Linked DNA regions of Saccharomyces cerevisiae S288C. The gene in region 4 interacts genetically with the main gene of each other region. Each region holds a gene or a part of one and is shown on either strand. Other genes may lie near its edges.

What was found.
Region 1: mutations in AGE2 (region 4) and NPR1 together harm fitness more than expected from each alone (negative genetic interaction), as found in Saccharomyces cerevisiae (2 studies listed by BioGRID).
Region 2: of AGE2 (region 4) and CHS6, changing one suppresses a phenotype caused by changing the other (phenotypic suppression), as found in Saccharomyces cerevisiae (one study listed by BioGRID).
Region 3: mutations in AGE2 (region 4) and DED1 together harm fitness more than expected from each alone (negative genetic interaction), as found in Saccharomyces cerevisiae (2 studies listed by BioGRID).

What each region holds. Positions count from the first base shown.
Region 1 is NC_001146.8:289,076-297,328, forward strand, and holds NPR1 (serine/threonine protein kinase NPR1), read right to left. Parts: upstream 6,435-8,253; coding exon 4,062-6,434; downstream 1-4,061. Other genes in the region: ubiquitin-specific protease UBP10, read left to right, coding at 423-2,801; mitochondrial 54S ribosomal protein uL11m MRPL19, read right to left, coding at 3,118-3,594; YNL184C (uncharacterized protein), read right to left, coding at 3,482-3,808; chromatin-binding/pre-rRNA-processing protein IPI3, read right to left, coding at 6,885-8,253. UniProt on the Saccharomyces cerevisiae protein: Nutrient-regulated protein kinase that promotes the activity of at least 6 distinct transport systems for nitrogenous nutrients under conditions of nitrogen catabolite derepression.
Region 2 is NC_001142.9:236,690-244,915, reverse strand, and holds CHS6 (Chs6p), read right to left. Parts: upstream 5,503-8,226; coding exon 3,262-5,502; downstream 1-3,261. Other genes in the region: SAP185 (Sap185p), read right to left, coding at 1-2,834; 1-phosphatidylinositol 4-kinase LSB6, read right to left, coding at 5,830-7,653. UniProt on the Saccharomyces cerevisiae protein: Member of the CHS5-ARF1P-binding proteins (CHAPS) which mediates export of specific cargo proteins, including chitin synthase CHS3.
Region 3 is NC_001147.6:719,822-727,643, reverse strand, and holds DED1 (DEAD-box ATP-dependent RNA helicase DED1), read right to left. Parts: upstream 4,734-7,822; coding exon 2,919-4,733; downstream 1-2,918. Other genes in the region: mRNA-binding ribosome synthesis protein NOC2, read right to left, coding at 1-132; GEP3 (Gep3p), read left to right, coding at 410-2,080; imidazoleglycerol-phosphate dehydratase HIS3, read right to left, coding at 5,036-5,698; MRM1 (Mrm1p), read left to right, coding at 5,936-7,174; BFR1 (Bfr1p), read left to right, coding at 7,579-7,822. UniProt on the Saccharomyces cerevisiae protein: ATP-binding RNA helicase involved in translation initiation. Remodels RNA in response to ADP and ATP concentrations by facilitating disruption, but also formation of RNA duplexes.
Region 4 is NC_001141.2:271,165-278,111, forward strand, and holds AGE2 (GTPase-activating protein AGE2), read right to left. Parts: upstream 2,683-6,947; coding exon 1,786-2,682; downstream 1-1,785. Other genes in the region: putative protein phosphatase regulator PIG2, read left to right, coding at 1-1,613; CBR1 (cytochrome-b5 reductase), read right to left, coding at 2,908-3,762; protein kinase PKP1, read right to left, coding at 3,944-5,128; GVP36 (Gvp36p), read left to right, coding at 5,361-6,341; APQ12 (Apq12p), read left to right, coding at 6,559-6,947. UniProt on the Saccharomyces cerevisiae protein: GTPase-activating protein for the ADP ribosylation factor family.

The DNA.
Region 1 (8,253 bases), on a different chromosome or scaffold from region 4:
AACCCGTATTCGTGTATCACCCGGCCAGCTTTCTCCGATGAACGCGCACAAGTAAGAAGTTAAATTGCATCCCCCAGACACCACCTCTTTTGTTCACTTCTTGCCTCATGCCGTCAAAAAATTTTTTTCGCATCGAAAAAAATCCCCAAAAGAAAAGAAAAAAGTTCTTATTTTTATATAGTGCCACCATCGGGAAAAACTTCCCTGTAAAGCATTAACAGAGTCTTCCATCCCCGCTTCTGTCCTTTATTTGTTTCATAGAAGCTATTAAGCATCATATACTGCACACAGGAGCATGCATAGTGTCTGAAGCCTCTTTTGTTCTGTACTGCACATAATATTTCATAGAAAAACTAACGGAAAGAATCTACAACTCATAGTATCTGTAAATCCGTCCTATTGTCATATCACAATCACAGACTATGACCACTCAAGAATCGATCAAACCTTTGGTAGATAGAATCCTATCAAATCCCCTGCAGTTCAATGCTGCAATGATCTCTAACAAATCGAATAATAATGATACTTCCGCCGCGCCGGAAAATAGCTCGTATATTGTGATAGGAAAACAGCATAATAACAATAGTAATAGCACAGCTATTGCTGCAACGGCCGAATCCAAGCAAATAAAAGAAAATAACTTGATAGACAGGCCAAACGGAAAGAAAACCAACACTGTTCCTAAATCTATGGCTGAAGCTTTATTGTTGTATACTTCTAAAAATGATAAAGATGCTGCAGATGCTACTGGTGCCAAGAAGTCAGCGGAGCTTTCTACGGAGCTTTCTACGGAGCCTCCTTCCTCTTCTTCGGAAGATGACAAAGTAGGAAAAGAGGAAGAGGAAGAGGGTGAAATATTTCATGAGGCAAGAGACTATGTAGAACCCCGAAAAGCTAGTTTGAAGGAACGCGACAACGCAGATAAGGGCGATGGTGAAGACATCGGCGAAGACATCGGTGAAGACATCGGTGAAGACATCGGTGAAGACATTGGTGAAGACATTGGTGAAAACTTGGGTTCTCCATTAGCAACCATTGATGATTCATCTAATGAGAATGAAAAGGAAAAAAGAAAGGAACTGTCTACAAGCATTAGCAGTGATGACGAAATAGAAGACGACGAGGATGAGGATGACATGGATTATGATTCTAGTGCTATGGAAAAAGAGCTCCCTGAAGAAGAGGAGAACGATTCCAGCTCCAAAATTTCTGAAGGCGAAAAAAAGAGTTTATATCAAGATTTAATGGAAAATAGTACAGTGGAAGTAAATCGGTACGAACCAGTAAACAACACCAAAGAAAATGGAAACAGGAATCCAAAGGGAGAGGAGGAGGAAGAAGAGGAAGAAGAGCTGAAACATAAATCTAGGTCAATCACCCCTCCGGTTACAATATCAAATCTATCAAACTTTTACCAATTCAATGAAAATATCAATGATCGTGGTTCTTTAAACTCTACTAGAATTGTTAAAAATTGGGGCGACAAATTCACCAATTTGAAGCCTCGTGGCCTTTTGAATCATGGTGTTACTTGTTACACAAATGCTGCTGTACAGGCTATGTTACACATTCCTTCGATACAACATTATCTTTTTGATATACTAATGGGGAAATACGATAGCACCATCTCAAAAAATTCCGTTTCCTATACTTTAGCTGAAACAAGTAAAAAAATGTGGTTACCGGTCTCAAAAAACCCTAGAAAGAACGTTTCAGCTTCCTACATTAATCCAAAACATTTGATTTCCAGATTGGATGACATTAATTGTATGATGAGCGAATGGCAGCAGGAAGATTCACATGAGTACTTCATGTCTCTGATGTCAAGATTACAGGAAGATTCTGTTCCCAAGGGTCATAAACTTATAGAATCGATAATATATGACATATTCGGTGGTCTTTTAAAGCAGATCGTTACTTGCAAATCTTGTGGCAGTATATCTAAAACAGAACAACCATTTTACGATTTATCGTTGCACTTGAAAGGGAAGAAAAAACTTGATCCAAATTCTGACCTGTCGAGTGATAGCATTAACGGCACTTCAGCCACCACTTCTACCACTACCTCCAATGCTGCCACAAAACCATCTCTTTCATCCTCTTCATCTGTCAATTTAAACAATGGCTCACCATTTGCCGCTGCCAGTGATTTAAGTTCAGCCAACCGCAGATTTTCTATTGAAAAATCAATTAAAGATTTCTTCAATCCCGAATTAATCAAGGTTGACAAGGAGCAAAAGGGTTACGTTTGTGAGAAGTGTCACAAGACCACGAACGCCGTGAAGCATAGTTCAATATTAAGGGCTCCTGAAACTTTACTTGTGCATCTGAAAAAATTCAGATTCAATGGCACGTCCTCATCAAAAATGAAGCAAGCTGTTTCTTATCCTATGTTTTTAGATTTGACGGAATATTGTGAGAGTAAAGAGCTACCTGTCAAATACCAACTATTAAGCGTGGTGGTTCATGAGGGCCGCTCCCTTTCTTCAGGTCACTACATTGCCCACTGCAAGCAACCAGACGGTAGCTGGGCCACTTACGACGACGAGTATATTAATATAATATCTGAAAGGGACGTTTTAAAGGAACCCAACGCATATTATCTCCTATACACGAGGCTAACTCCAAAATCGGTTCCATTGCCATTGGCGAAATCTGCCATGGCCACTGGTAATGTTACCTCTAAATCCAAACAGGAACAGGCTGTTAACGAACCAAATAACCGCCCATTGAAGATTAATAGCAAGAAAAATAACAGAAAAAAATGGAAAAAAAATAAAAAAAGGAAGTTCACCAAATGAAAAAACTCGATATTCCTGGATTTTCCTCTTTTCATAGGCATTTTTATTAGCATTTCATTTTTATTATACCAAATCAATATATACATATAAATATCCGGTCTTTATTGACTTATAAAACAACTCTCAGTATACAGAGTTGGAGAAGCGTTTACTCAGAATAGCTTCAGTACTACCGAGCTTTGCTAACATAACGGGAGAAAGAGAATTTAAAACTTATATACATATTTACAGAATAGATCAGTAGAAAGAAGAAGGAAGGTCTGTTGAAAATTTCTCGAAATTGACGGTACTTTTTTGTCTTTTCACTACTTACAGATCAAGGTACAACCTTAATACCCATACTTTTTGCAACGCCAACTATTGATTTAACAATACCTTCCATCTCCAATAAACTATGCCTTTCATCACTCTTTTTTATCTTGGCTATTTCGTAAACGTGCTTCAGCGATAACTCTCCTAAAGCACGGGTTGGTCCCTTGGCAGGTGCACTGCCTAACATTGTCCCCACATTCGGTTGTCCATGTCCCTTGTCCATTTTAAGAGCTTTTAGCAGCAAATATCCGGTTGGTGGAGATTTCATTTCAAACGTAAATGTTCTATCAGGTTTTATTGTGATTAATACTGGAACCGGTACACCTGGCTGATAGTTTGCTGATCTTGCATTAAATTCCTTACAAAAGTCAATGGCTTTTATACCCTTGGAGCCCAATGCGGGCCCCACGGGAGGTGATGGTGCCGCTTGGCCTGCTCCTACTATTAGCTTTACTATCACGTTTTTTGCTGCCTGTGACATTATGGAGACTAATAGTTCCTCTATGGTATTCGAGAGTTCGAAAGTACAACAAACAGAAATAAATACAGAAGGTTACGCTGTCGATTTGAATGTTCACGCTTTTTTTCCTTCTTATGAGTTGTAGATTTACTGCACTTTCTAAAGCTTCTTTGCTGTGAAATTTTAGAAAAGGGAATTGTCGCCTTGGTAAGACAATTAATGTTACCCGCTTCATTATTATTAATTAGTGGCGCGATATTTTAACGAACTTTTCCATTAATTATTATCATACTAAGCTTTTACATTTTTCTGATAAAATAGTAGATTATGAACAGGAGGTCAATCTATTTAGGCTTCTATAGAACGGTAAAATATGAAATTAGTTTAACAGAAGTAAATATGACATTGTATTTTAACATATACTCAAATAGGATAAAAAAAGGTTATATACAAATGCTTGGAAAAGAAATAAAAGTGGGGACGCTTATTTATTGATTATTTTGCTTTTTCTTTTTCTTTTCTAGGCCTGCAATATGTGCTTCACTTTGATCCACTTGTGTGTGATGATGGTCTTCTCCTCTAACCACTTTGAACGATAATCCATCTTCAACCAAGTGGCACATATCAATGCTACGGATCCAAGGATCTTCCATGATTTCTTCGATATTTCCTCTGCATGCGGGCGCCAAATCAATCATACGTCCAACAATATGCTGAGTCTCTTCTGGTAATGAGTGCAACAATCTTTGTGGCCCGATATTAACATTATTAGGATCTGATACATTATTGGAAGAGCTTTCGGGTTTTTTCTTTTCTGTTGAGTGCGATTCATCGTAGGAAGGTGGATCAGGAGTTCTTGTAACCAAGCTACTTAAGGAGTCGCAATCACGTCCGGAACAAAATAGTTTGAATGAATTGTCCCTTAATTTCGGAATTTTCCATGGAAATTTCTTCAGTATCATACATGCAAAAATGATTGCAGAAGACCAAATATCTACGGGACGTGGGTCATACTTCGCAAATATACAGACTTCAGGTGCTAAATATGGATCACTTCCAACAATTCCACTTGCTTCCACAAGATTTTTTGAGAATGGATATGAAAATACCACAGCAGCACCAAAATCGATTAATTTTACAATACCTTTTTCGTTTATAACACAATTATCTAGCTTTAGATCTCTATGAGCTAAGCCGATACTATGCAAATATTGTACACCAGTAAGTATTTGTTTGAAGCAACAACAAATCTCTTCATAGGACATTTTATTACTCATTACAATAGCAAATAAATCGTATTCACAATATTCCATAACTTGGAGAATTCTATCATTTTCATACACGATTTCAATTGTTTCAATGATATTGGGATGATTCAAAGTTGTACCAATACAGTATTCTGATGTAATTTTCTTGACATAATCTCTTTTGGATTCATTTTCAAATTTAGTTCTAAACTCCTTCACTGCAAATATTTTGTTATCTGAAATTCTTTGAGCTAATTTGACAGAACCTCCTGCTCCAGCGCCTAAATCGGCACCGGTTTTGATGTACCTTTTTGAGAACGGAATTCCTGAACCGCCGTGACTATGAGAATAAATAGTATCTCCATTTCCGTTATAACTAGTGGAATATGAGTTATTCCCTGCGGCAAAATGAGACGATGAATGAGAGTGTGACGGAACGGCAATTCCGCTAGAAAGAGGTGATCCGTTCGGGATCACGTTGTTACTATTCGAGGAAAGGTTACTGTTAGAACTTTTTTTGAAGAACCTCTTTAAATCACCGATGGAAGAATGTTGTGACCTTGGAACACTTTGACTTGGAGGTAAGTGGTCATGTACAGATGAGGGGGAACCGTAAAAGTTATCAGTATAGGAACCAGTTGGCTGTCTTGATGCAGAATATATGCTGCTTTGTCTTGCGCGGATAGGCTTCGGGATAGGCGTCGAACCATTGGTAACATTGGGATTCTTAATGTTTGGAGAAGGACCATTGGAATTGGCAGAAAAAGACATGCCTGCAGAGTTAGAATTTGAAGATTCTTTTGAGTTTTTGGAAAAGAAAAAATTCCCAAGCTGTGAAGAGAATGAACCTGAACGGGATATAGATCTTGATTGAGTGGCATTTGCATTATTACTATCCATCGATGCTTTTTGGAGTTTTTGTTTGGAGATAACAAAACGTGGTTCCACGCTATCTACTTTTGGGGAGGATATAACATTTGAATCGATTGCAGAAATATTATTGGGCATACCGCCTGCATATGTTTCGAGCCACGAAGAAGACAAAGAGGAGCTGTTGCTATTCGAGCTATTGTTATCTTTGTTAGAATTTGGCACGGAGTAAGGTATACTTGATGATAAAGAAGGAATGGCCCTTCCTGAAGTATGTGACGTGGTAGATAATCTACTTGTGATTCTGTTCTGTGCAGCAAAAGAACCACCATGTGAGGAAAGTCCTGCAGTACCTTGATCGTTTATTAAGGATCCAAATCTATCTCTACTTTGTGCACTTGTGCCGTAGAATGATGCAGTGTGAGCAAAGTTTGCATTAAGGAAGCTGGAGGAAAACTGATTCCTATCGTCGAGAGAGGAACCGGCTGTTGATGATGAATCTTCCTCTGAGTATATTTGAGTAACAGTTGTGACACTGCCAGGAACTGGCACGTTAGCCCTATTACGATCACTACTGCTGCTATTACTCACGCTACCAATATGACTACTACTCTTATTCCTAGAGTGAAGGTCAAGCGATTGTGACTCGGGCGTCGTGGTCAACGTATCAGCAGAAGTTCTCGGTGATGAGTTCGAAGTTTCATTTTTTCGTTTTTCCTGTAGCAATCGAGTTAATGAAGACATAATGTTTCGTAGAGCTTTCCTTTTTTGTTTGAATGGGTATGAGCTGTTGGAAAATCAGAAATAGGAAAGAGTTAGACAAAAGTATTAATGAGTTCTGGTACAAGCCAACTAGTTTGTATGGGGTTGAAAATGACGCAAAGGAACGAGAACTCCTGTTTATTATTCTTTCAATAACAAAAGCAAGATTTTTAGTCACTGCCGATTGTTGCCACTAGGTACGCCACTGACTAATCCGTACTAACTCTATACAACTAAAGGCGGCCCATATTCTGAGATAAGCTATAAGGGTAGGAATTGTGGGATGCGTCATTGATAACGAAAAAATTCCGTAATAGATGATCAGTCAGATTGAGAATGAGATGTTTCGCACAAGTGATGAATTATATCTATCTATGCTGTATATTTTAATAACATTCCTATTTTATTGTACAAAATGCGCGACTATTCCGTTTATTGCTTGTCAAGCATCTGTTGGTGTTCCTCGTACAGCTTTTCGTGCATGTCACGTAACTCCTTGTAGGCATGAGTTAATGCTTCTATGTTGGTCTTAAGTTCTGTAATTTCCTCATCTTTAGCGGCATTGCTGTCTAAAGATGAAGTGGCGTCGATTTTATTGTCAATCACTTTTACATTGCTTGACACCTTACCGATATGTGAAAATATCGATTCTTGCGTTTTGACCTGCTCCAAATAGGCATTAAAGTCGTTAAGTGGTAATGCGAGGTTAGGATCTGTCTCTGCTTCTGGTTCTCCTATCTGATACCAAATATCGTGTAAATGGCCTTTGTTTTTACCATCAAAGATAACTCTTTGTAAGTTTGGTATCTTCATAAAATTGTGACCATTATTATTACTAGGTTGTTTGCCTTTGGATTCTCCTTCAAAAAGTAAATTTCCACGTTCGAGTCTGTAAGGGTTGGTTAAGAGATTGGTCACTTCTCCAACTGAATCCTGTGATGTAGTTAAAGTTTGGATAGTTCTAATGATTTGTTTTGAGTAAATTTCCGCAATAGAAACTTTCCCCTCCGTATCACCGATCAATAATAATGTACCATCCATTGATATTTCTAGGCATGACACATTTGAATTTAGGACATTCTCACAGACAAGTTGGCCCATTGCATATAGTGCATCCAAATCTTCATTTTCGCCGCCAGTTAGTGAGTTACGTTGCACTAGGGAAAAAACCCTACCTTTTTGAACTGTGTTTACTCCGGCGGACTGTAGCAGATTAACGATAGCATTACCCTTTAGTTTATAAAATAAATTCAATGAAAAACAACCTTCCGCAGTACCAATATAGCATGCTCTGTCAGCAGGATCCAGTACAATGGATTTGATAGAATAAGGAGTTGTAAATGTCGCAAGCAATACTGGGGTCTTACCAATACTAACGTCATTTTCGTTTGCCTTCTGCTTCTTTTTGCTGCCTATTAAACTCAAATCATAGCATCTAATGGTAGCATCTTGAGATACTGTGAAGAGTTTCGTATCAGTACATGATAAAAATTTTCCTTGACTAGAAGAAACTTGGAAATCTGTCACGGGTAGAGTATGATCGTGAAGGATACATAAAGGCTTAGGATCATCATTGGACGCTGATACCAAGTCAACAGTTTGCCATATAATAACTCTCGAATCGTTACCAGAAGTAATAATATACTTGCCGTTTAAAATGGACTTAATCTTGGTGATACTTTGGTAATGAGCCATAGGCTTCACGTTCAATAAAATCCCTGAATTTAACTCCCATATGTACAATTTACCCGATTCGGTGGAGCCAAGTAAAAGGTACGGAAGATTGAAGTCTGGTAAATTA
Region 2 (8,226 bases), on a different chromosome or scaffold from region 4:
TTAGAAGGTGATGACTCCCAGCCGTCACTAAGTTCATTGCTAAATTGAAATACACTTTCTTCCTTAGCATTAACTGTATTATTTGGTATTGTTTCAGATTTGCATGCATCCGTAAAACTTCGCTTAAGCTTCAATGGTATCTTATGATCGCGATTCACTTCACCTGGAACTTGTTCCGTGGCGTCAGAATCAGGATTGAAGTTTAATCTTGTTTTTGTACCATCTTCGTTAACGTACTCATAGTAAAGCTGCTCTTGGTCACGTTTGCCTTCTGATGAATTCGATTCTTTGCTTCTAACGGAATCACCATTACGATATTCTTGGGGTTCATCTTCATCAAAGCTGACATACCCTTCTCCTTCATCCTCTTCCTCCTCTTGACACCGTACATTGTCCATTTGCATTATGTCATTAATGTAGTCATCGACTGTACCCATAGTGCGCTCTCCCTTGTCGTATACAGCATCCTCTTCTTCATCTTGCAACATGTCTCCTTCTTCAGCTATATCGCCTAATATGGCGTTGTATTTCTCCTTTAGATCCTCTAGAACATCCTCCGTATAGGCAATCCATTTACTCTCAAATAAAGAACTCATTACTTCAGTATTTTCAAAGGTGATGTTCATCTCTTCAATATATGCAGTAAATTTGGTGACTTCTTCCGCAATTAGGGTCAAATGGCCCATATATCCAAGCCTGGTGTCATGTCCTTTCTCATATTCTATGCATTCATTGTTTCCGTTAATAATCATATCAGTTAAACGGATGTTGATTAGGAGATCATCTAAAAGGAACCTATTATAACCTATTTTGAGGGGACCGTTAAAAATCTGCTGAACAACATCGTACACTACGTTATGAAGGAAATTGTTCCACTGGAAGTGAAAAAACATTTCGAGCATAGTATCTATTACTCTGGTATCTTGTAAACTGATTTTCAGCTGATCTCCAACGTTGGGAGACACACGAAAGTTTTTTTCTATATCAGAAGAATCCAAAATGACGTCTGAATATTGGGGTTCAAATGGATTTTCATCTTCCTCGTCCTTAAAATCACCATTGTTGAAGTCTGGCATTAAACTATGTTGCTCTTCATTATTCATGTTCTGGTTTACTTTGTTGGTTTCTATCTGTAAAGAATTTAACTTATCGATAACTTCTTCACCATCAATGGAGGTATTAGCGGATTCTACCTGATTTGTATCATCTTCCACTTCATCATCAGCATCACCTGTATTGTCGTCTTCATTTTCTTTTAATTCACTACGATCGTTAGAATCTACGTAATTTTGTGAATTGAAGATTCTCTCTCTTTCGGCATCACGCTCTCTTACAATGTCATAGGCACTCGGTTCATTCAATAAAGTCATGTTTGAGCAGTGTAATAGTTCAGCAATAAGTTCACAGATCTTAAACCTTTCAAATCCCAACGGTTCAATCGTTCCATAGGACGTCTGTAAAAGGGGAATCTTCTTCTCAGTTAGTATTTTGTTGAAATCGGCCATGTGTTCAGAAAACATTTTAACCAAATATCCTAAATAAATTGGGTCTCTATCTGTTGGCGGATGAGATTCTATGGTAGTATAATTTGTTTGTATGGTATCATAATCAGAATTGTTTTTCCTTATCAGCTCAATGATAATGCCAACGCCATTATTTAACGAATTGCCTCCCTTGAGCATTATATCCATAAGTTGTTTCATCATATTTGGAGAAACTAATTGCCTTGTTAATTCATTAGGCCCTATGCTCGAAGTAATCTCATTAGGACAGTTACCGCTAATAGTAACCAGAGCTTTCAGAAAATCACCGGCTGCAGATTGTGTGCAAGAATCAAAAACAGGATCGAGTAAATGAATCAACTTTGGAACCAAGTTCTGTTTTTTAAACAGTTGTATAACTCCATTTGATATTTCTGGCTTATCGGTCGATATTACTTTTAATAAAAAATCCATCAAAGGCGGATTATCTATATGTGCTAAAAAATCGTCAACAATGTGTTCCTTTTTTAATATGAATTCAATTATTCCGTCCATATTCATATCCAAGAGGCGTTCGTTTATTTTCATAAAATATGTTGACGCTTCAATTGACAATGGAGAAGGTAGCCTGAGGATCGACCAAAGCTTAGCGAGAAGTCCTTCGTTTTCAATCAAAGCAGATGATATGGGCCACACGTCAGCGGACAATATTTCGGCCGCTATTCTGGCTCTTCGCGTATCATCATGTTCCTCTAGTTCATGAGGTAGAGTGACTCTAGTATCCTCAGATGCACTATCATTTTCTTCATTTTCCAGTTCCTCTTCTTCACCACTACGAGTACGTTCTTTTTCTTCAAAAGTACCATCAATGTTTTTCTTATCTGCTTTAGCATTCTCAAAGTCCTCCGTTGTGTCCTTGTCTTCACCACGTACTAAATCTCTGTCTTCTGAAGTAACTCTATCAATATTGGACTCAAGTATGGTACTATTTCTGACATAATCTATCAATTTGGACAAAACTTCAGGGTACTTCAAGTACACTAGTAGCTTGAAGTTCGAGCACATCAGTTCTGTATATAACTCCTCATCATCTAAAAGATCATTCAGTAGAGACAGGTTTGGCTTATAAGCTTTGTAGTCTTCTTCTCTGTTAGGCAGCTCATATTCTTCTTCTTCGTCTTCTGATTTAAAAGAATTGCTTTCTAAACTTTCATCTGTGCTATTAGAGTCAATTTTCCCTGCTTCCGTACTAGTGGGCTTATCATCGATCTTAATGAAAGCCCTGTTCAACAGTTTAGCTAATGGAGACTGTGAACCAAAATCTTGTCCAAACTTCCAAAAGGACCCTGACATATTTTTTCCTAATTATTAAATGGGCAAAACGATAAACGCCACTATTCTTAAACACTAACTAAAACGAATTTTTCAGAATCTCTAATCAACTAAAATTAGCATGTATTACCTCAAGCTAAAAATATTTAAAGATCTTAGTAAAATATATCTTTTGCGTACCTTTCCCAAATACACAAGCTAAACTACCCTTATCAAGCAGATCTGGTGAAATTTTAAACAAAAATAGTCCCGTTCGATGACTTCGAGCGATGCCCAAGCTTTTCTCATTCTCTTCGGAGTGTTTTGGCGTTAGCCGTCAATCCCTCGCAAAAAAAATTTTCTTCCCAGTTCAAAATGTAAAAAAAAAAATAAAAGGTATACGGTTACCCTTACCCTCAGTCCATCCAACCGTAGTGGTTATATAATAATACTAAGAGCACCGTTTTGTTCAAGGTTGTACTGTGTGATCTAGGTCGGCTATCCACGCAAGCATGGCATCGATCATGACCATGATTTCGTCTCCTATGGAAGGTTGAAGAAGGATCTTATTACGCAGTATATGCGTCCCCAATTCGTTGCATAGCTTTTCTAGCAGTTGCAGATTAAATATCTGGCAATAATTATAATACCTGCAATCATATGATATTTTCTTAATTAATAAACTTATTATGGTATCTGTGTCTAGTAATGTAACCTCTTGAATATTTTTTGGAGGTTGCAGGTATATTTTTAGCAGCTGCTGGCAACTTACGGGGTCGAATCGAGCTACTATGCTTGTTCTTAGACAAGCTACGGCATCTTCCCAATGCCAGGTACGCAGCATGATCAAACCCAAAAGTTCCCACTCTAATCCGCTGTGTTTTTCATCTTTATTGCTTAGGCTAATCTTGCTCAATTTCAAGTCTTGATATAAATCTAAAAATAAATCATCTAGCCACCCTTCACAAAACCTTTTCTTTCGGGATTCCATCGGTATATGACCGTTTTCATCGATAATGTTGTTAGAAGCTTGATAGAATTCAGTTTCCATCATGAAAGCTTCTGTTCGGATGTTTAATAAGCCATTCCAACCAATTTTGTTCACAATTTCCATTAATAACCCATATATTTTACCACTAAACCATCCCAATTGTTTGCCGATCGTATTCCTTGCTATTAAATTGATATTTTTTATGTTTTTGACCTCTTGAGGGGAGACATAATTAATCAGATTCACAGATTGTGGACCACAAATCGGACCCAACTTTATCGCAATATCATCCCAGATTTCCTTTGTATAACCGATTTTTTTTTCGTTTATCATTGCGATTCTTCCAAAAATTTGCCGTTTTAACTCATCCTCTTTCCAATTCCTCAACGTTCCCGAGAGATTCGTGAATTCCATTGCAGTCAAGTCGTAGTGTTCGCGGGTACCATTCAATGGCTTTTTATAATAATTGGAGGTAAGAAACCTACTGTACATTGTTTCCAGGTGTCCATCATTTTTGCGCAAACGAGGCATTGAATTTATTGCGAAGAGAGCCTTTTCATACTCCTCTTTTTTGATGTGGCATCTCGCTAGGTTGTACCAAGATTCAAAAGAGTCTAAGGCTAGTTCGGTTGATGTGTTAGAGACGCCTAATGCTAGTTCGTAATCACCCCTGTTTAACAAAAAATTTGTTTGAATGTTCAGCAAGTCACTCATGCAATTCATTAATCGTGCTGAATCAGCATCGCGAGGCGGTAAATCATTTAGCAGAGATAAAAGGGGGTCGAGCGTCTCATTTAAAATAGTTATCATGTCTAACTCCTTTGTTTCTATGTGATCTAGAATTGTGATCATAGCCGTCTTGTAGTATATGTCATGGATTGGATCTTTCTTGGTAAGTCCTTTCAGGTAGTCGATTGTAAAATCCACTAGGCTTGGCGTGATTGCAATAAAACTTTTTAAACTATACATTAAATAGTTATTGACAATGGTGGCTTGCATACTCTTGGTAGAATCCCACCCGCAATTCAGTGACCGTGGTAAGAATCGGCAGAGTAATTCTATGATCTTTTTGCAAGAGGAGATAGTATCTTTTCCAACGTAGAATGGACACTCTACTAAACCGGGAGGTTTTAACTCTGGATTAGTATTTGTTATTATCGCTCGGATGACAGAACTTGCGAACGTTTCTTCCCACATTTTTTCTGTCATGGTCAGGTCAGTGGTTTCCTTGTTACAGTCAATTGCCGTTGTCTGGAAAGTATCGTCAGCATCGTATCTAATACGGATGTCTAGATTGCTGAAAAAATTAAAACAGCAATAAGTCAATATGATATTATTCGATATATTTTTGGAAATCCGCTTACTCGATTTTAGCACTTCAAGAAACTCTACGGGCATTGCAGGACCGGAAACTTCGATCCCTGTAACGTAGAAATATTCACCAAACTCTTCTTTTTCATGTTTGTTTAAGTAGGACATGTGAACAATCTCAATGGGACCTAGTCCAACATTGCCAGAAGAAATTAAATCCTTGATTAAATGCGTTCTATTGTGCAGACACTCACCAAACTGCCTTTCCATAATTCGTGGACAACTTTTAAATATGTCTCGATTGAGGAATTGATAACCCTTTTGTACTGAAGGTGAGTTCCCAGGTGTATAATCGCCACCAGGTATTTCATTTTGCTTTTTGGTTTCCGATGGCCAAAACAAATTCATAAGGGCAATAGATGTAATCCTTTTTTGCACCAACAGCTTAAGAAAGGTGTTTGCTTTTAATGTGAGTTAAGTAATGTAATGATTTGTTAAGATCCTCTATTCCTTTTTGAGTATCTATTTATTTTCCTAAATTCTTCAAGGCTATTTTTACCATGAATCCGCTAAGATCTGTTTGGGTTCCGATTTTTCGAAGACACACAAAAATAATAGCCGGTTGCTTTCTAACACTACAGAAAGAGGTTTTTTCGAAAGAGTCTATTTCCTATATGCTAAAGTAGAGTTATGATTTCTTTATATTGAGTATGTATTGAATTATTTTCCAAAAAATCAACACCAGGTGAATACGGGGGTGGAATTGACTATTTGTAGCCGCTCTGCTATCACTGTTTTATTAGCAAATGGGTGCAGAGTGGAATCATAGTATACAGGATTACTATTGCTTTGGTTATGTGCATGAAATGGAATTGTGCTTGGGGTGCTAGGGAGTACCATTGGTGAAGTGGAATATGATCCAATAGGTTCGTCTATGGCGTTTTTGAAAATAGAAACTGGAGGTGGGCAACAGGGAACTTGCATCTTCTCATCTATTACCTGGCACCTTGTCCTTCTAACCAATTCCAAGGGGCCTTGTCGTGGGTCTTTCAATGTTTCGACAACGTTGAACGCCTGTCCTTTTAATACTGCCCATTGCTTCTTCCACATTCGGACGTTAAAATCTTGGTCCCTGCTAAATAGGGCCAAGAATTCTTGGTACGACTCTTCCCACCAATTAGTGCTTGTCAATATCGGTAGGAAATGAGATCTCATTTGCTCAGAAAATGGTTTGGCTAGTAGTTGCAGAGGCAAATACAACCAGCCATATGGGTACAGACGCCACTCATCAGGATGCTTCCAGGGAAAGGACAACCCATTGTCGATGGCGGCTAACTTGAGTCTCCACTTATTGTTTGAAAGTTTGATTAGTTTCACCATCCAATTGTCTAGACCTCTATCTGTGTTTCTCATTATATAATCAAGGATAATTAGTTTTTCTAGTTCCAATCTGAACTGACTCAAACTTGATTCTGTCCATTCAAATTTCGAATTTTCTTCAGATTCCGTCGAAATTGGAGAGGAATTTATTTGCTTGGACGGTTCTGTCTCATCTGTTAGGTTCCTGGTTGTCTCTGGTTTATGATTGATATCTTCGCCGGATGACTTACGATGAAATGAATGTTTAACATCTGAATACATCCCAGGTAATGGGTATTTATGAAAGAACTCATCGGCGTTGATGTACTCCTTCAAAAAAAGTTGGAAAGAACCCAGCTTTTTTTGTTTCTTCTTCTGAAGGTTGTATCCCAATACCCATTTTTTTCTATTATCATAAAAATTAAAAGACTCTATAGATGCAGTATCTGTATAGGGTACTAGATGCGTTTCCAGTCGCCTATCCAACAAACTAGCCGCACTTTCACAGATGTACCCGAGGTTTGGAATCAGACAACTTCTGCCAAACAGACATGGGAAAAACGTGCGGTGTGCCCATTTGGTCCATTTGGGAGAAAATGGGCCATATGGTTCCTCATCCTTGGGCTTGAAGACCCCCACCGGAACGCTTTCGTCGGCCCGTGTTCCATACACAAAGTACGACCCACTTGAGCCAGTTTGGATTCTCTCGAGTTCGCGTCCAAATGTCTCTACAGCCTCAATACAGTCAGAAACCAAATGGTTGAAGTTTTCCCTCTGTTCTTGTTCTTCTTTTCTTCGGAGCTGCTCATATGCTAGGCCCTTGGTTGGATATGCATGCAGCGGACGAAATACCGAATATTGAATCTCATATTGACTTCCTTCTTCTTCTTGCCCTGACGCTTTGTCCTCTGCATTATGAAGCAGTCCAACGGCAGGATTGGACCCTGAAGTCTGATCAGGTCGCGGGCTCTCGGACGGTACGTTGACCAGAGATTGATAGGAAGGGTGGAATACCTGAGGGGCCTCCGCTATGTCTGAATTCTGTGCATTCGAACCGACCCCTGGAGAAGCGTGCGTTATCGGGTTCTTACTTTTACAGTGATCTTGCTCATCACGGAACTGTAACCAATCGTAGCTGTTCACAACTATCTTCTGGTGAGGATTTACGGTATGATCATGCTGGTAAGCTTCGTTACTCATGCTTTGGTTGGCTTCTTGAAAGTGTCTAGTTCACTTTATGCCCGGTTATAAACATAAACTTTCACAGGGTTCTCTTTGATCACCTCTTTGTTTAATCTTATGAATCCAAGGGATTTTATCGGTCAAAGGGGAAATCAATGCGAAAGACAGTAATGATGAGAGAAAAACTCTCCGTAACCACCAAGTTTGGTTCAGCGCGACGAGATTTTTATCGATTATCGAGAAAAATACCTGTATATCTACATTTCTATGTCAGTGATATATACTTCTTAGATAAGTTATGCCACCAGTGCATACGCTTACGCACACACACGTATTCTTGTGCACACGCCTGTTACTTCTTGCAGACATCAGACATACTATTGTAATTCAAAAAAAAAAAGCGAATCTTCCCATGCCTGTTGCTGCTCTTGAATGGCGACAGCCTATTGCCCCAGTGTTCCCTCAACAACCTTGGTAGTTGGAGCGCAATTAGCGTATCCTGTACCATACTAATTCTCTTCTGCCCAACGACGGCTGCCATTAGTCAGCATGGCGCGCACGTGACTACAACTGTGGCTGGAAACCTTTTCG
Region 3 (7,822 bases), on a different chromosome or scaffold from region 4:
TTCCTGATCAGTTTTGTTGCCACGACGGCCTTGGATTCTCTTCTTTTGGATCTTTTCCTTTCTTCTTTGGTCTAGAGTATGCTTCAAATGCTTCGATTGAAACTTCTTGGTCGATTTAGAAACTTTACCCATCTCCACTTATTCTATTGTTGACCTTCTCTATCTCTCTTACAATTCAAAAATTAGTATAAATGAATTTACCCATGTACAAGTATTCTGTTTCTCTATTTTCTCTGTAAATATCATGCTCATCTCATCGGAAGAAAAAATTCAGAAAATTTTTCAAAACTCGTCGAAGATGATAACTACTATTTGATGTTATGGGTCAAGATACATTTAACAGAGCAATATTAACGAAGGACCTTCCTAGTAACACGTCTAATTACTTTGAACAATTCAATATGCGGGAATGTTGAATCTGTGTCATGCTCTTCGAGGCGTACGTCAGTTTTCCTGTTCTGTGATTGTGAAAGTGAAATGTGCGTCATGTTCCATAAAACTACAGGATCAGGATCCTAGTAAACCAGGATATTATACGAAGCCAAAAAGTCTACCCGACTCAAAACTAAATCCTGACCTCCAAGATCTGAAGTATTTGCTATTCAGTCAAGACATACAGCTCTCGAAACAGGCAACTCAAAATGATCCTGACCTCAAAACCAAAAGAGATTTACTATTGAGAGTGATTTGCAAAAGGTGCAGTAATGCCCTTCATCATAACAATTATAACCCGGAAGAGTTTCCCGAAAGCACATTAAATGATATTCTGAACTACGTCCCCAGAGGCTCAAATGTTATGCATATTGTCCCCTTTGTAGAATTTCCCTTACATTTAGACCCCAATGTTTTGAAACGAAATGATTTAGATACTACATTAGTGTTAACGAAAAGCGATCAAGTTTTTAAAGATAAAAATGCTGTCAGCAAAAAGGTTCCTATATTCATGAAGCAATTTTTAAAGAACACTTTAAGAATTGACTCAAATAAAACATTCGCCATATCTGCGCTGAAAAACTGGAACATATCCATGTTTTACAACTACTTTAAAAACTACACATATTTGCTAGGCAACCCTAATGTTGGTAAATCAACTTTGATCAATACTCTACTACAGAAATATCTTGGATATAAGGTTAAAATTGATTCTACTGGGAAAATTAACTCCCCCTCTGAAGAAGTGATGCAAGAAGCTTTTACGAACCCGAAGAATTTTTTCAAGATTCAAGCTGCTGGTGTATCACATATTCCCAATTTAACTAGATCCGTACAAGCCTACCAAGTTGGAGGTAAAATACTTTTTGATCTTCCAGGCTATTCAACTTCCACCTCCAGATTACGCCTAGAAGAACTAATCGACGAGCGTTGGCTTCAAAGGCTGCGAAAAACCGATTTATTCAATCGGAAGCATATAAAACAGAAGACTTATGAGTCTATGAAGGGCACATCACAGGGAGGCTGTTATACCGTGGGAGGGATTTTCTACCTGGTACCTCCGAAAGGATCCATAAATCAGATTGTGAAATACATACCAGGACCATCAAAAACATTCAAGAACATTGAAAAAGGTATTGATGTATTCAACTCGTGCAATTCATCATCTGGCACACATCCGTTATCACGGTATTGTGGAATTAAAAGCGTTATATGCGAAAAAAGCCAGTACAAAAGGTACGCAATACCTCCATTTATTGGAAGTATAGAGATCGTTCTGAAAGATATAGGATATATTTTATTAAGGACAACTGGGAGGTATGAGTTCAAAGGACTACATGAGATATGGATACCTAGGGGTATCCAAGTAGGTATAAGGGAACCGCTAGAAAACTTGATTGAGTCTGGCTACCAGCGTTACATTGAAACAAATGGTAAAGAGTCAAGCTGTCCCAGAGATAGACCGATCATCAGTTCCCTGTATGAGATGGCCCCGGATGAAGCTGATACTTTGAACGCAGTGAAGAAGTCGTATTTAGAAAAAACCGAGAAAGATTTATCTGCTAGAAGATTTGTCGACGATGATCCTTATGATTTGGTTCAACACCTAGAAAAAAAAAAGAATCCCTATTGGTACTACCAATGGTAAGACTCGCTGTTCACTTGGTTGCACCAATAAGTAGTAACGCACATGTAAATATGAATGTAAGTAAACTAAAAAGAAAGTTGGGAACAAAGTATATTCAAAAACGAATATACAGGAAATAAGCAATAGAAAGTATTATGAATTATACTGTTGATGTTTATTCTATCTACAAAACACAAATAAAGTAGAGTATAAGGCGAGTCAATAAAAAGGCCTCAACTCAAAAAAGGGAGAGAAAATGTAGGAAGGAAATGAATACTATTATACAATGGTACTGTGAACAGTAAGAATATTTTCGTAAGGTAAAAAGAAACAATAACAAACAAAAAAGGTCGAAAAAACTGTTCAAAATAAAGTCTCTATTCGAAGAAAACTGAAAAAGTGGAAGTGGAAATAAAAGATAATGTAAATAATCAGTCCAATGAATAGATCGGTTAAAGCAATTAAGCAAAAATAGTGGAAAATATAGTAAAAGTAGATAATAATTCCTTCATCTTTTCACTAAAAGATGAAAATCTTAATTGCTTATAATCATAGTGAAATCTTTAGTTTTTTAGTTAATATTAGCAAAGGCATTTTATAGTACAATTGTAAAATAATATTAGAACCATGAAAGAAAAAAAAAACAAAAAAACGATGGATAAAAAATAAGAGTGGAAAAAAAGTAACAGATTAGTGGCTCCCAGTGAGAAAATAAAAAAAATATGGGGCCAATCAACGGCTAGAGAGAAACAAACAACACAGTATTTTCAGGACTTGGATAAAAAAAGTGATTGGAGAAAGAAAATATAAGACATGCTAGAGCAGAAAACGAAGAATCCTCACCCTAGTTTGTCTGAAATCACCACCAAGAAGAGTTGTTTGAACCACCGCTGTTACCCCAGCCAGAAGACTTGGAATCGCTACCCCAGCCACTACCGCCTCTGAAAGAGTTATCTCTGCTTCTTGAAGAGCCCCAGCCGCCTGCGCTAGCGCCTCCGGCCTTACGGTAATCTCTGTTGTTGTTGCGACCGAAACCGCCTCTACGGCTGTTGCTTCTGCTACCTGGAGCACTCATCATAGCGTCCTTCAAGAATGATGGGACTTCTTGGTTAGCTTCAGTCAAAATTTCATGCAAACCTTTAACAATGTTACTGTTTTCACTGTTGAAAAAGGCAGTGGCAAGACCGGTGTTACCGGCACGACCAGTTCTACCAATTCTATGGACGTAATCATCGACATCACTTGGTAAATCGTAGTTGATAACGTGGGTGACGTTTGGAATATCTAGACCTCTAGCTGCGACAGCTGTGGCAACCAATAAAGTAGCGGCACCAGATCTGAAGGCGGCCAAGGCACGTTCTCTCTCAGATTGGGTACGGTCACCATGAATGGCGGTAGCTCTAAAGTTTTGCATGATCAGGAAATCGGTCAATTGATCTGCCATTCTCTTAGTTTCGACAAAGATCAAAGTCAAACCGTCAGTGGATGCAGACAATAGATCCAATAAGGCTGACTTCTTATCTTGATTTTCAACGTATAAGACTTTTTGAGTAATGTTTTCTGAAGTAGAACCGACTCTACCAACAGACAAAAAGATGTAGTCACTTAAGAAATCACGGGCCAAATGTTGGATATCAGCGGGAAAAGTAGCTGAGAACATCAGAGTTTGTCTTTCACCAACAGGAGTCATATCACAGTCTTCGACAATATGTCTAATTTGAGGTTCGAAACCCATATCCAACATTCTATCAGCTTCATCTAGAACCAAATACTTGACGTTGGCCAAAGAAATTTTACCACGTTCCAACAAGTCATTCAAACGACCTGGAGTAGCGACTAAAAGATCGCAACCACGTTCAATTTCTCTTAGTTGGTTACCAATTGGAGAACCACCGTAGACGACGCAGGCCTTGACCCAGGATCTATAAGTAAATTTCTTGGCTTCATCGAAAATTTGGGTGGCCAACTCTCTAGTTGGAGCCATAATGACAGCAGTTGGGTAGGCCTTTCTTTGGTAAAAGGAGCCTTGAGACTCTGGTTGAGGAGATGGTCCAGTCTTAAATGATTCGGACAACACTGGGAATAAAAACCCACCAGTCTTACCAGAACCGGTCTGCGCACAGGCCATCAAATCTCTGCCGTTGGCAACGATAGGGACGGAGTATTTTTGCACAGGTGTTGGCTTGGTGAAACGGGCCAATTTGATGTTTTCCAATAACAATCCGTCCAATGGAGGTGAGGTAAATTCTGTGATTGGTTCAGGAACATCCTTACCAGAGGCGTCCACTGGAATATCATCGTAGTTATCGAAGTTAATACCAGAAGATTGGAAATTTGGATCCTCGGGGACACCAAATATGGCGATCTCGGCCTTTTCGTTTCTTGGAGCTGGGACATGTTTGCCATCGATCCATCTACCACCAGAACGGCCGTTAGATCTGCTGCCACCGTTGTTTCCACCGAAGAAACCACCGTTGCCGTAACCACCACGACGGTTGTTGCTAAAGAAGCTGCCACCGCCACGGCCACCGTTGTAGCCGCCGTTGTTGTTATTGTAGTTGCTACTGTTATTTCTGGCACTTCTTGGTTTTCCTCTTAAGTGAGGAGGAACATAACCATTCTCGTTGTTGTCGTTGATGCTTAAATTTTGCACTTGTTCGCTCAGTTCAGCCATAATATGAAATGCTTTTCTTGTTGTTCTTACGGAATACCACTTGCCACCTATCACCACAACTAACTTTTTCCCGTTCCTCCATCTCTTTTATATTTTTTTTCTCGAGTTCAAGAGAAAAAAAAAGAAAAAGCAAAAAGAAAAAAGGAAAGCGCGCCTCGTTCAGAATGACACGTATAGAATGATGCATTACCTTGTCATCTTCAGTATCATACTGTTCGTATACATACTTACTGACATTCATAGGTATACATATATACACATGTATATATATCGTATGCTGCAGCTTTAAATAATCGGTGTCACTACATAAGAACACCTTTGGTGGAGGGAACATCGTTGGTACCATTGGGCGAGGTGGCTTCTCTTATGGCAACCGCAAGAGCCTTGAACGCACTCTCACTACGGTGATGATCATTCTTGCCTCGCAGACAATCAACGTGGAGGGTAATTCTGCTAGCCTCTGCAAAGCTTTCAAGAAAATGCGGGATCATCTCGCAAGAGAGATCTCCTACTTTCTCCCTTTGCAAACCAAGTTCGACAACTGCGTACGGCCTGTTCGAAAGATCTACCACCGCTCTGGAAAGTGCCTCATCCAAAGGCGCAAATCCTGATCCAAACCTTTTTACTCCACGCACGGCCCCTAGGGCCTCTTTAAAAGCTTGACCGAGAGCAATCCCGCAGTCTTCAGTGGTGTGATGGTCGTCTATGTGTAAGTCACCAATGCACTCAACGATTAGCGACCAGCCGGAATGCTTGGCCAGAGCATGTATCATATGGTCCAGAAACCCTATACCTGTGTGGACGTTAATCACTTGCGATTGTGTGGCCTGTTCTGCTACTGCTTCTGCCTCTTTTTCTGGGAAGATCGAGTGCTCTATCGCTAGGGGACCACCCTTTAAAGAGATCGCAATCTGAATCTTGGTTTCATTTGTAATACGCTTTACTAGGGCTTTCTGCTCTGTCATCTTTGCCTTCGTTTATCTTGCCTGCTCATTTTTTAGTATATTCTTCGAAGAAATCACATTACTTTATATAATGTATAATTCATTATGTGATAATGCCAATCGCTAAGAAAAAAAAAGAGTCATCCGCTAGGTGGAAAAAAAAAAATGAAAATCATTACCGAGGCATAAAAAAATATAGAGTGTACTAGAGGAGGCCAAGAGTAATAGAAAAAGAAAATTGCGGGAAAGGACTGTGTTATGACTTCCCTGACTAATGCCGTGTTCAAACGATACCTGGCAGTGACTCCTAGCGCTCACCAAGCTCTTAAAACGAGAATTAAGAAAAAGTCGTCATCTTTCGATAAGTTTTTCCCACAGCAAAGCAATAGTAGAAAAAAACAATGGGAAACGTTGAATGAAGACAAAGCGTCGTGGTTTAAAAGGAAATACGCTCACGTACATGCTAGGGAACAGGACCGTGCAGCGGATCCATATGGCAAGAAAAAGGCCCACGTCGAGAAGCTAAAGGAGATCAAGAATCAGGCGAAATTAAACCAAAAGAGCCATAAATCCAAGTTCCAGAATAAGGACATTGCTCTGAAACTTATGAATGATAATCCTATCTTCGAATATGTCTACGGCACCAACAGCGTTTATGCAGCGTTGCTGAACCCGAGTAGAAATTGCCATTCTCGGTTGCTGTACCATGGCACTATTCCTAGTAAATTTCTTCAGATAGTCGATGAACTGAAGGTTACGACAGAGCTGGTGGACAAGCACAGATTAAACTTGTTGACCAATTACGGGGTGCACAATAACATTGCTCTTGAGACAAAACCTTTGCAGCCTGTGGAGATTGCGTACCTAGGCGACATGGACACCAGTTCAGCAGCATTAAGCATTCACGAGCTGGGCTTCAATAACGAAAATATACCTCATGAACTGCCTTATGGTACGAAAACAGACGCTAAGAAGTTTCCTCTCGGGTTATATCTGGATGAAATAACTGACCCTCACAATATCGGTGCCATTATTAGAAGCGCTTACTTCCTGGGGGTTGACTTCATTGTGATGTCGAGAAGAAACTGCTCTCCTTTGACGCCTGTGGTGTCCAAGACAAGCAGTGGGGCCCTCGAACTTCTGCCCATATTTTACGTTGATAAACCGTTAGAGTTTTTTACTAAATCACAAGAAATGGGTGGCTGGACGTTTATTACAAGCCACTTAGCTAATGCCACGTCAGAAAAATACACTGTTGGAAAAACTATTAGCATGCACGATTTGAACGGATTATGTAACGAGCTGCCTGTTGTTCTAGTGGTGGGGAACGAAAGCCAGGGCGTAAGAACGAATTTGAAGATGAGGAGTGACTTCTTCGTCGAAATTCCCTTTGGTGGCATTGAGAAAGGCAATCGGGCCCCAGAACCCATTGTTGACTCACTAAACGTAAGCGTGGCTACTGCATTGTTAATAGATAATATTCTAACTTGTAAATAACCGTCATATAAAGTAGCACAAACATACATAATAAGCCTATATACATTATACATGTGTAATGGTGGTGGTACGCGAAAAATTGCTTACCCGCACTGTGGCGGTGAAAAAAAATAACTGATCTCGACGACGTTGAACACGTAATTCGCATTTTATCTCGAACATTTATAAGCCAAATTGAGTTTCGAAAATTGCTTGGTTGCGTTATACATAGCATTAAAGTACGACGGAGTCTATTTTCTATTTTAGGTTCATCCTTTTTTTTTTTTTCATTTTGCCCCTCCATCTCCATTTTTCACTCATTCTGGTCATTTCTTCGTTCAGTTTCATTCACATTTTTGAACTGATTTCACCTTTCCTCCTTTTATCAACGTAATAGCATATTTTCTAACAACACAGCCATTGCCATGTCCTCCCAACAACACAAGTTCAAGCGCCCAGATGTCTCCGTTAGAGACAAGAAATTGGACACTCTTAACGTTCAATTGAAAAAAATCGACACTGAAATCGGTTTAATTAGAAAGCAAATCGATCAACACCAGGTCAACGATACCACCCAACAAGAACGTAAGAAGTTACAGGATAAGAACAAGGAGATCATCAAGATCCAAGCTGACTTGAAAACCCGTAGAAGCAACATTCACGACTCTA
Region 4 (6,947 bases):
CCACCACCACGCAACCACAAAATATACTGATGGATGAACCTTTAAATCTTCCTAATAACAGTGCCCACAACAATAACTATGGAAACATAAATGCGAATATAAGAACTTTTGCTGGTATGAGCATGCACATGCACCCTGCCAGGCTGAACTCTCTGGAGTTTTTGCACAAGCCCAGGAGACTATCTAATGTAAAACTGCACAGATTACCTCAGGACGAGCTTCAAAGAAATACGGACATGAATAAGGGAATGTATTTTAATGGGAAACAAGTTCATGCCCATCACCCGTTTATAAATTCTGGAGCGAACTTTAACGCACATCATCAAGACGTCAGTAAATTAGGCGAGGAGGAAGACGAAATCTCTCCTCTATCACATGATAATTTCCAGTATGAATCCGAGGAAAATGGTAATCCTTCACCTCCCATTTACAAGAAATCTGGAGAACTGGTTAAGAGTTCATTAAAAAGAAGATCCAAGTCCCTACCCATTACTCCCAAATCTATATTCAACAAAACTGGCTCTAAGAGTAAACATGTCAATTTAGATCATGTAGATACTAGGCTATTGCAAAGAAGTAAAAGTGTCCATTTCGATCGTGTTTTACCAATAAAGCTGTTCAATGAAAATGAGAAACCCATAGATGTTGGCAAACAAATGGTTCAACAAGATGTTCTGAATTTCAAGCATAAGCCTTTGACGAGACTAAGTGCCCTTAATGGCGGTAGTGATAGCGTACCTATAGAAGATTTACTATCTGAAAACAACCAAAACGAATATGGAGATACATGGCTACAAAACCCGAAGGGTGTATTCCTATTTGGTACAAATTCTAATAATCGTAGAAATAAAAAAAAGAAGTTTAAACTAAGTGACGATGACAGTGATATTGAAAATGACAATGATAGTGACGACGCTATAAACCGTTTAGTAAGGCAACAAGACAAAGACCAAGCTCATCTTGCGCACGGGTTGAAGAATTTGTTAATAAACGATGACGACGATTATTTAGAAACAAGAACAAATTCTGCTAAATCAGGAGCCAACTTGTTTATTGGAAACTCTAAAAGAATTGTTGGTCTTTACAACAAGAACTTTCCAATATTAAGTGACAGGAACCGTAAGAGTTTAAAACTTAACATATTTCTGAATCTTTCCCGTGGAAGGCCCGTTTTTTTGCAAGAAATTACGCTACTAACTGGCTTCCACAACATGGTTATAATTGGCAAAGTCTTTGTGAAAAACATATACTTTGATAAGAAGATTATCGTAAGATATACATGGGATGCATGGAGAACTTTTCATGAATCAGAATGCGTGTATTTTTCTAATGCCAATGGCATCTTACCAGGAAGCAATATGGATATTTTTAAGTTCTCCATTGATGATATACACAATCCAAATGATAAAGATAGCAATATATCACAATTGGAGTTTTGTATTCAATACTTAACTTGGGGCGTTGATCGTTCTAGGAAGGAATATTGGGACAATAATGATTCGGCAAACTATAAAATTGACGTGGTAACGAATGAAACGAGGACAGGGCCCACAACAGACGTCAATGATAACTACGAGATGAAACATAGTCTTTTCAGAAACCCATTCCATTAAAGAAAAAAACAAAAACTAATAGTATTGTTTTACATATACAAAAGAAAAAAAAAAGATAAGAATACGTACTTTCTATTTTTATTTGAAGGTCATTTTCTTTATATAAAATAATATACTGGAATGATGTTCTTTTTGTTGCTTTCTATATTTGCTTTCTTTTTTTACTTTTTATTCAACTCCAGACGTTCTTAAATAACTCGTTATCATCCAATGAAATGTTAGAACTGGAATTTGAATTCATACTATTATTATTTGTAGCGGTAATTCCAGTGTTCACGAATGGTGACGGAGTATTACAAGGCTGAGGTGTCGTGGAAGTGAAAAATGAGTTCTGGCTTTGAGTCTGGGCAGAAGGTTTTGAGTATAAAGATAAAATGGATTTTTTCAAATCGTTCCTTTGCCCAAATTCACCGACTCTGTTGCCAGTCTTGGTATTAGCAGCACCTATGCTTGTTGCAGAACTAGTTACACTTGTATTAGATGTAGTCTTAGAAAGCGATGAAACCTGTAGGTTTAATAAGCTCGTATTACTCCTTGAGGTGCTTAATAAGTGGGAAGGTGGTTGTGTTTGCGTCTTTTGTAATGAATTTGAGCTCTGGTCCAATCTTGCATTCGAAGCAGGCAACGAATGATTCGCAGACGGCTTATGCAGAACTGGTTCAGTAGAATCATTTAACCCTTCAATACTGGAGAGGTCACCAATCCACTTCTTATATTCATATTTATTCTTGATGAAATTTTGTAAACTGCTCGTATCAGTGATTTTCCTCTGTTTCAATTCATCAGCCAAAGTAGCTTCGTAGTATGAGTTAGCTCTTAAATTGTTTTTGAACTGTATCAGTTTCACCAAATGTTCTTCCTTCCATGTATCCAGATCAACAGATTTCACTTTCGAAATGTGCGTTCCCAATGATCTATGTATACCAGCACATTTAATGCAAATGAAAACACCAAGTGACCAGGAAGCCCAGCGTGGATGTAGTTGCGCCTTACAGTCGGCACAATGACTGTTTCCTGGATCGCGTAAAAGAGCACTTAATGCCTTCTTGACTGGGACTGACGTCGACATCGCTTGTAAATTGCCCCACGTTCTATGCTCCTTTGTACAGTTGAAGCAAGTATTACCTTTACTTTTGTTACTATTAGTACCGATCTTATACGTATTATCGAGTCGAAAATCGTCCAGCACGAAATATGGAAACGGTGCGTTTAGGTGACTAAACTAAATAGCGTATATATTATATATGTTCCAATCTATATATATATATATGGCACTCTGTTACAGTTCCTTATCTTAAAACACAAACACCTGGTCTTCCATCTTGGAAAGCGGTTTGGAACGTCTGAACCCCAAGTCCACGGTACTTCTTCTAACTGAGGCAACCATGGCTGGAGGACCACAGATCAAAATTTGAACGTTGTCCATTGTAGCAGCGGGCAAGTGTTCCTTGATGACATCCTTGGTAATGTATCCTACACCACCAGTCCAGTCTTCACGGTCAGGAGAGTCTAAGTAGTAAACTATCTTAAATTGGGAAGGCTTCATGGCCACCAACGCTTCCAGTTCCTTCTTCAACAGAATATCCTCCTCATGGACGTTCCCAAAGACTAGAGAGACCTTGGTAGTGTCGTGAGGGTCCATGGCAATAGCTTTCATGATCTGATACATGGGCGCAATACCAGTACCACCAGCAATCATCCCTAGATGGGAACGGCAGTTTCTCTCATAATGATAGTTCCCACGAGGGCCCTTGATCTGGATCGAGTCACCTATCTTCAACTCTCCAATCATCTTAGAAACGTTACCTGTGGGGTAAGACTTCACTAGTAATTCAAAGTTTCCCTTTGTATCTCCATCCAACGATGTGGGCGTATACGATCTGGTAATATCCTTACCATTGATATTGGCCTTAATTACGATATGCTGACCAATTGGTAAACCGAGTACGTCGTCAGCATGAGGTAGCCCGAACTTGTACATCGAAGTATTATGCGTTAAGATGGTTTTTTCAACCAGCGGAAATGATTGGAAGTCATTCCTTTTGGGATCCAGCACAGGCTTGGTCTTCGGTCCGATAATGAACTTGAAGAGCAAAGGCACGACCACGATCACGATGACCACCACAAGCTTTTGAGCATCAATAGCCATCTTCGATTGCTTAATTGATTGAGTCTCTTGTTGAAGAGCCAGTTGAATGCATACTTTCAACACTTTTTTTTCTCGTTCATTTTTTCGCCTTATATAATAAGAATATTTATACATATGTAGATAATTTAAAGAAGTAGAAAGAGCCCTTAATGGTACCGCTTTACGAGGAAATTTAGCACTGTTACTTTTTGGAGAGTAGTGCAGTCTTAGAAGGGCCTTTGAGCTTGATGTACACGTCCGTGCCCCAGCCAAGTAAACTTTGAACGTCAATCTTGCCCCCAAACAGTTCTAGGTACGTCTTGCACATTGGTAGACCAAAGCCCATGCCGGAGACGTTGTTGATTTGCTCGCCGGGCAGATCTGTAGACTCAGAGTCAGCTGATTGTTGGGTATGTGTAGAGTAAGAGTAGTTGAACATGAGGGCCTCTACCTCGGGCGTGATCCCACCACCATGGTCCCGTATCCGTAAGTACAGCTCGTCATCGTCTGGCTTTAAAAGATTGATCTCTATGGGCATATGTTCCTTTCCAAGAGCTATCTGAGCTTCAAAAGCGTTCTTGAATACCTCTGTCATAATATACTCCAGAATGGGCGGAATGCACGTGAATGTGATGTCTTGTGATGGCGGGTGAATTAGGACCGGGGTCCGCTGAGTGTTGAACTTCACAAAGCATATATCATTGACATAATCAGAAACGTGCTTGATCAATTGTGCTATGGGGAGGTCCCGGTGCAAGATTCCAATCATCCTTTTGTTCGTGTCACCTTTGTTCTGTGCCATCAACGACAAATAGTGCGTCACAAGCAGCTTCATCGTGATTCTCTCCTTCAGGTGGAAGTTCAAGAACTGCGAAATTTGAAACTTTGGGTAACACGATTGGATTTCCTGAAGACCTTTTGCCAATACCACAATGGCGTCCTCGTGGTCGTCCAGCAGTTCTGTGAACTTGGCCTGTATCTTGGGAGGATTGTGCAACTCGTACGGGTATGCGATTGATAGCAACGTTTGCAAGCTTTTCAAATACAAAGAGTTGGTTCTCTCAATATGAGGGTTGATTACCGCATTATACGGTAGCCTCTGAATGGCATTAAGCCGTTTACACGTCAATGAAAGCAACAGGTTGATTGTCTTGATCGTCAGCATGTACTCCTCCTTCTTGGTCAGCGGCGGCCTGTATTGCAGGAAATACTCGTAGTTTAGGGGCGCAATTGGTTTACTAGCGTAGTCCTGTATCAGCAGCTCAATGTTCGACCTAATCTTGTAATGCTGGTCGAACGACAGTTGCGACAGCAGCTCGTGTGAGGGTCGCTGGCGATGTGCCCAGCGCATTCCCCCACATTTCCATGAACGCATAATCTTCCACATACTACCGTGAAGGCGTCTTGATACCACGTCTTCCAGTTATGGTCTTGACTCACCAATGTTCTCAGTTTAATGTTGTTTGCTTCATACTGGCAGACATTTTCCCTTATTACCGTGAGAAGCGAGCGGTGGATTAATCGGGATGTCAAAAACAAGAAAATTGCAACCTTCTTCACCTATAACCTATATGATTTGTAGGCAGAGGAGTGGAATAAGCAACAAATCATAGTCATCAATGTCGTTTAATGCCTTCGCCAGCTCTTTGAGCAAGAAATTACAGGAAATATCCACAAGTGTTTCCGAAAAAACCCAGGAATTGCCCAGTTTGGCGCAATCCACCCAAAGAATGGTCCAGGAACGTTTGGGCCAGGTGACGGACATCTCCCAATTGCCAAGAGAGTACACAGAGCTGGAAGATAAGGTTGACACCATCAAACTGATTTACAACCACTTCTTGGGTGTAACTGCTATCTACGAAAACGGATCGTACGATTACCCTAAATACATCAACGAATCCGTCAACGAGTTTTCAAGAAGCGTGGCTTCCAAGTTGACAGAGTTGACTCATGCTACATCTGCGTCTGAGGCACAAAACATCTTAGTTGCTCCAGGCCCCATCAAAGAACCCAAGACGTTGAACTACGCCCTCAGTAAAGTGGCTTTGAACTCCAGTGAATGTTTGAACAAGATGTTCCCCACCGAGGAACAACCCTTGGCTTCGGCACTCTTGCAATTCAGTGATGTGCAGGCTAAGATTGCTCAAGCTAGAATTCAACAAGATACCTTGATTCAAACCAAATTCAATAAAAATTTGAGGGAAAGGCTCTCTTTTGAGATCGGTAAGGCCGATAAGTGCCGCAAGGATGTCCATTCCATGAGATTAAGATATGACGTGGCAAGAACTAACTTGGCAAACAACAAGAAGCCAGAAAAGGAAGCTTCCTTGAGAGTCCAAATGGAGACTTTGGAAGACCAGTTTGCTCAAGTCACTGAAGACGCTACTGTGTGCTTGCAGGAGGTTATTTCTCACGCTAACTTCAGTGAAGATTTGAAGGAATTGGCCAAGGCTCAAGCTGAGTATTTTGAAACCTCGGCTGGCCTAATGAAAGAGTTCCTATCCAACTCATTTGCGGAAGAGCCGGAAGCAAAGCCTGAGGTTGCAGAAGAAGAAAAGCCACAGACAGCTATCTCTATGAATGACGAAGACGACGCTTAATAGCCGCCCTGTTCTTGTCTTTCTCTCTCCTTCTCTATATATATATATTTACTTAATACAATATCATATTCTCTAGTGTCGTACGAATATTATCATTTATTTGCTGGCTTTTGTAGTGAGTATATTTTTTGTAGAGAAAATATAATTACTGGAAGAGAAAAAGCTACTGAAAAAAATTTCGTAACAGTCACCAAAGGGCAAAGTGAGCAACCCAAAAATGGACGCTACTCAACCGCAATACGAACTATCCGTAGTAACACAATGCCTAAAGTCTGCCATTGACGTCATCCAATGGTTGATTCCTACTATTACTAAGTTCAGCCAATCACACCCGTTAGTTTTCCAACTATTGTTTATTTTCTTCACATTTTATGTCTTTTACAAGTTGTTGATGAACTTCATTACTCTGGTCAAAAGATTCCTGTATTTGACGTTGGTAGTAACATGTATCGGTATTTATATGCGTGGTTCGCAGCAGTTTTTGACTGTGGACCTGTTGAATTTCTACAATTTCGTCATGTCAAATAGATACTACGCATTTAAAATTTATACTCTGTTTATTAATGCCCTGGAAAGAGAAATCAACACTGTTTATCATTTGGCGCA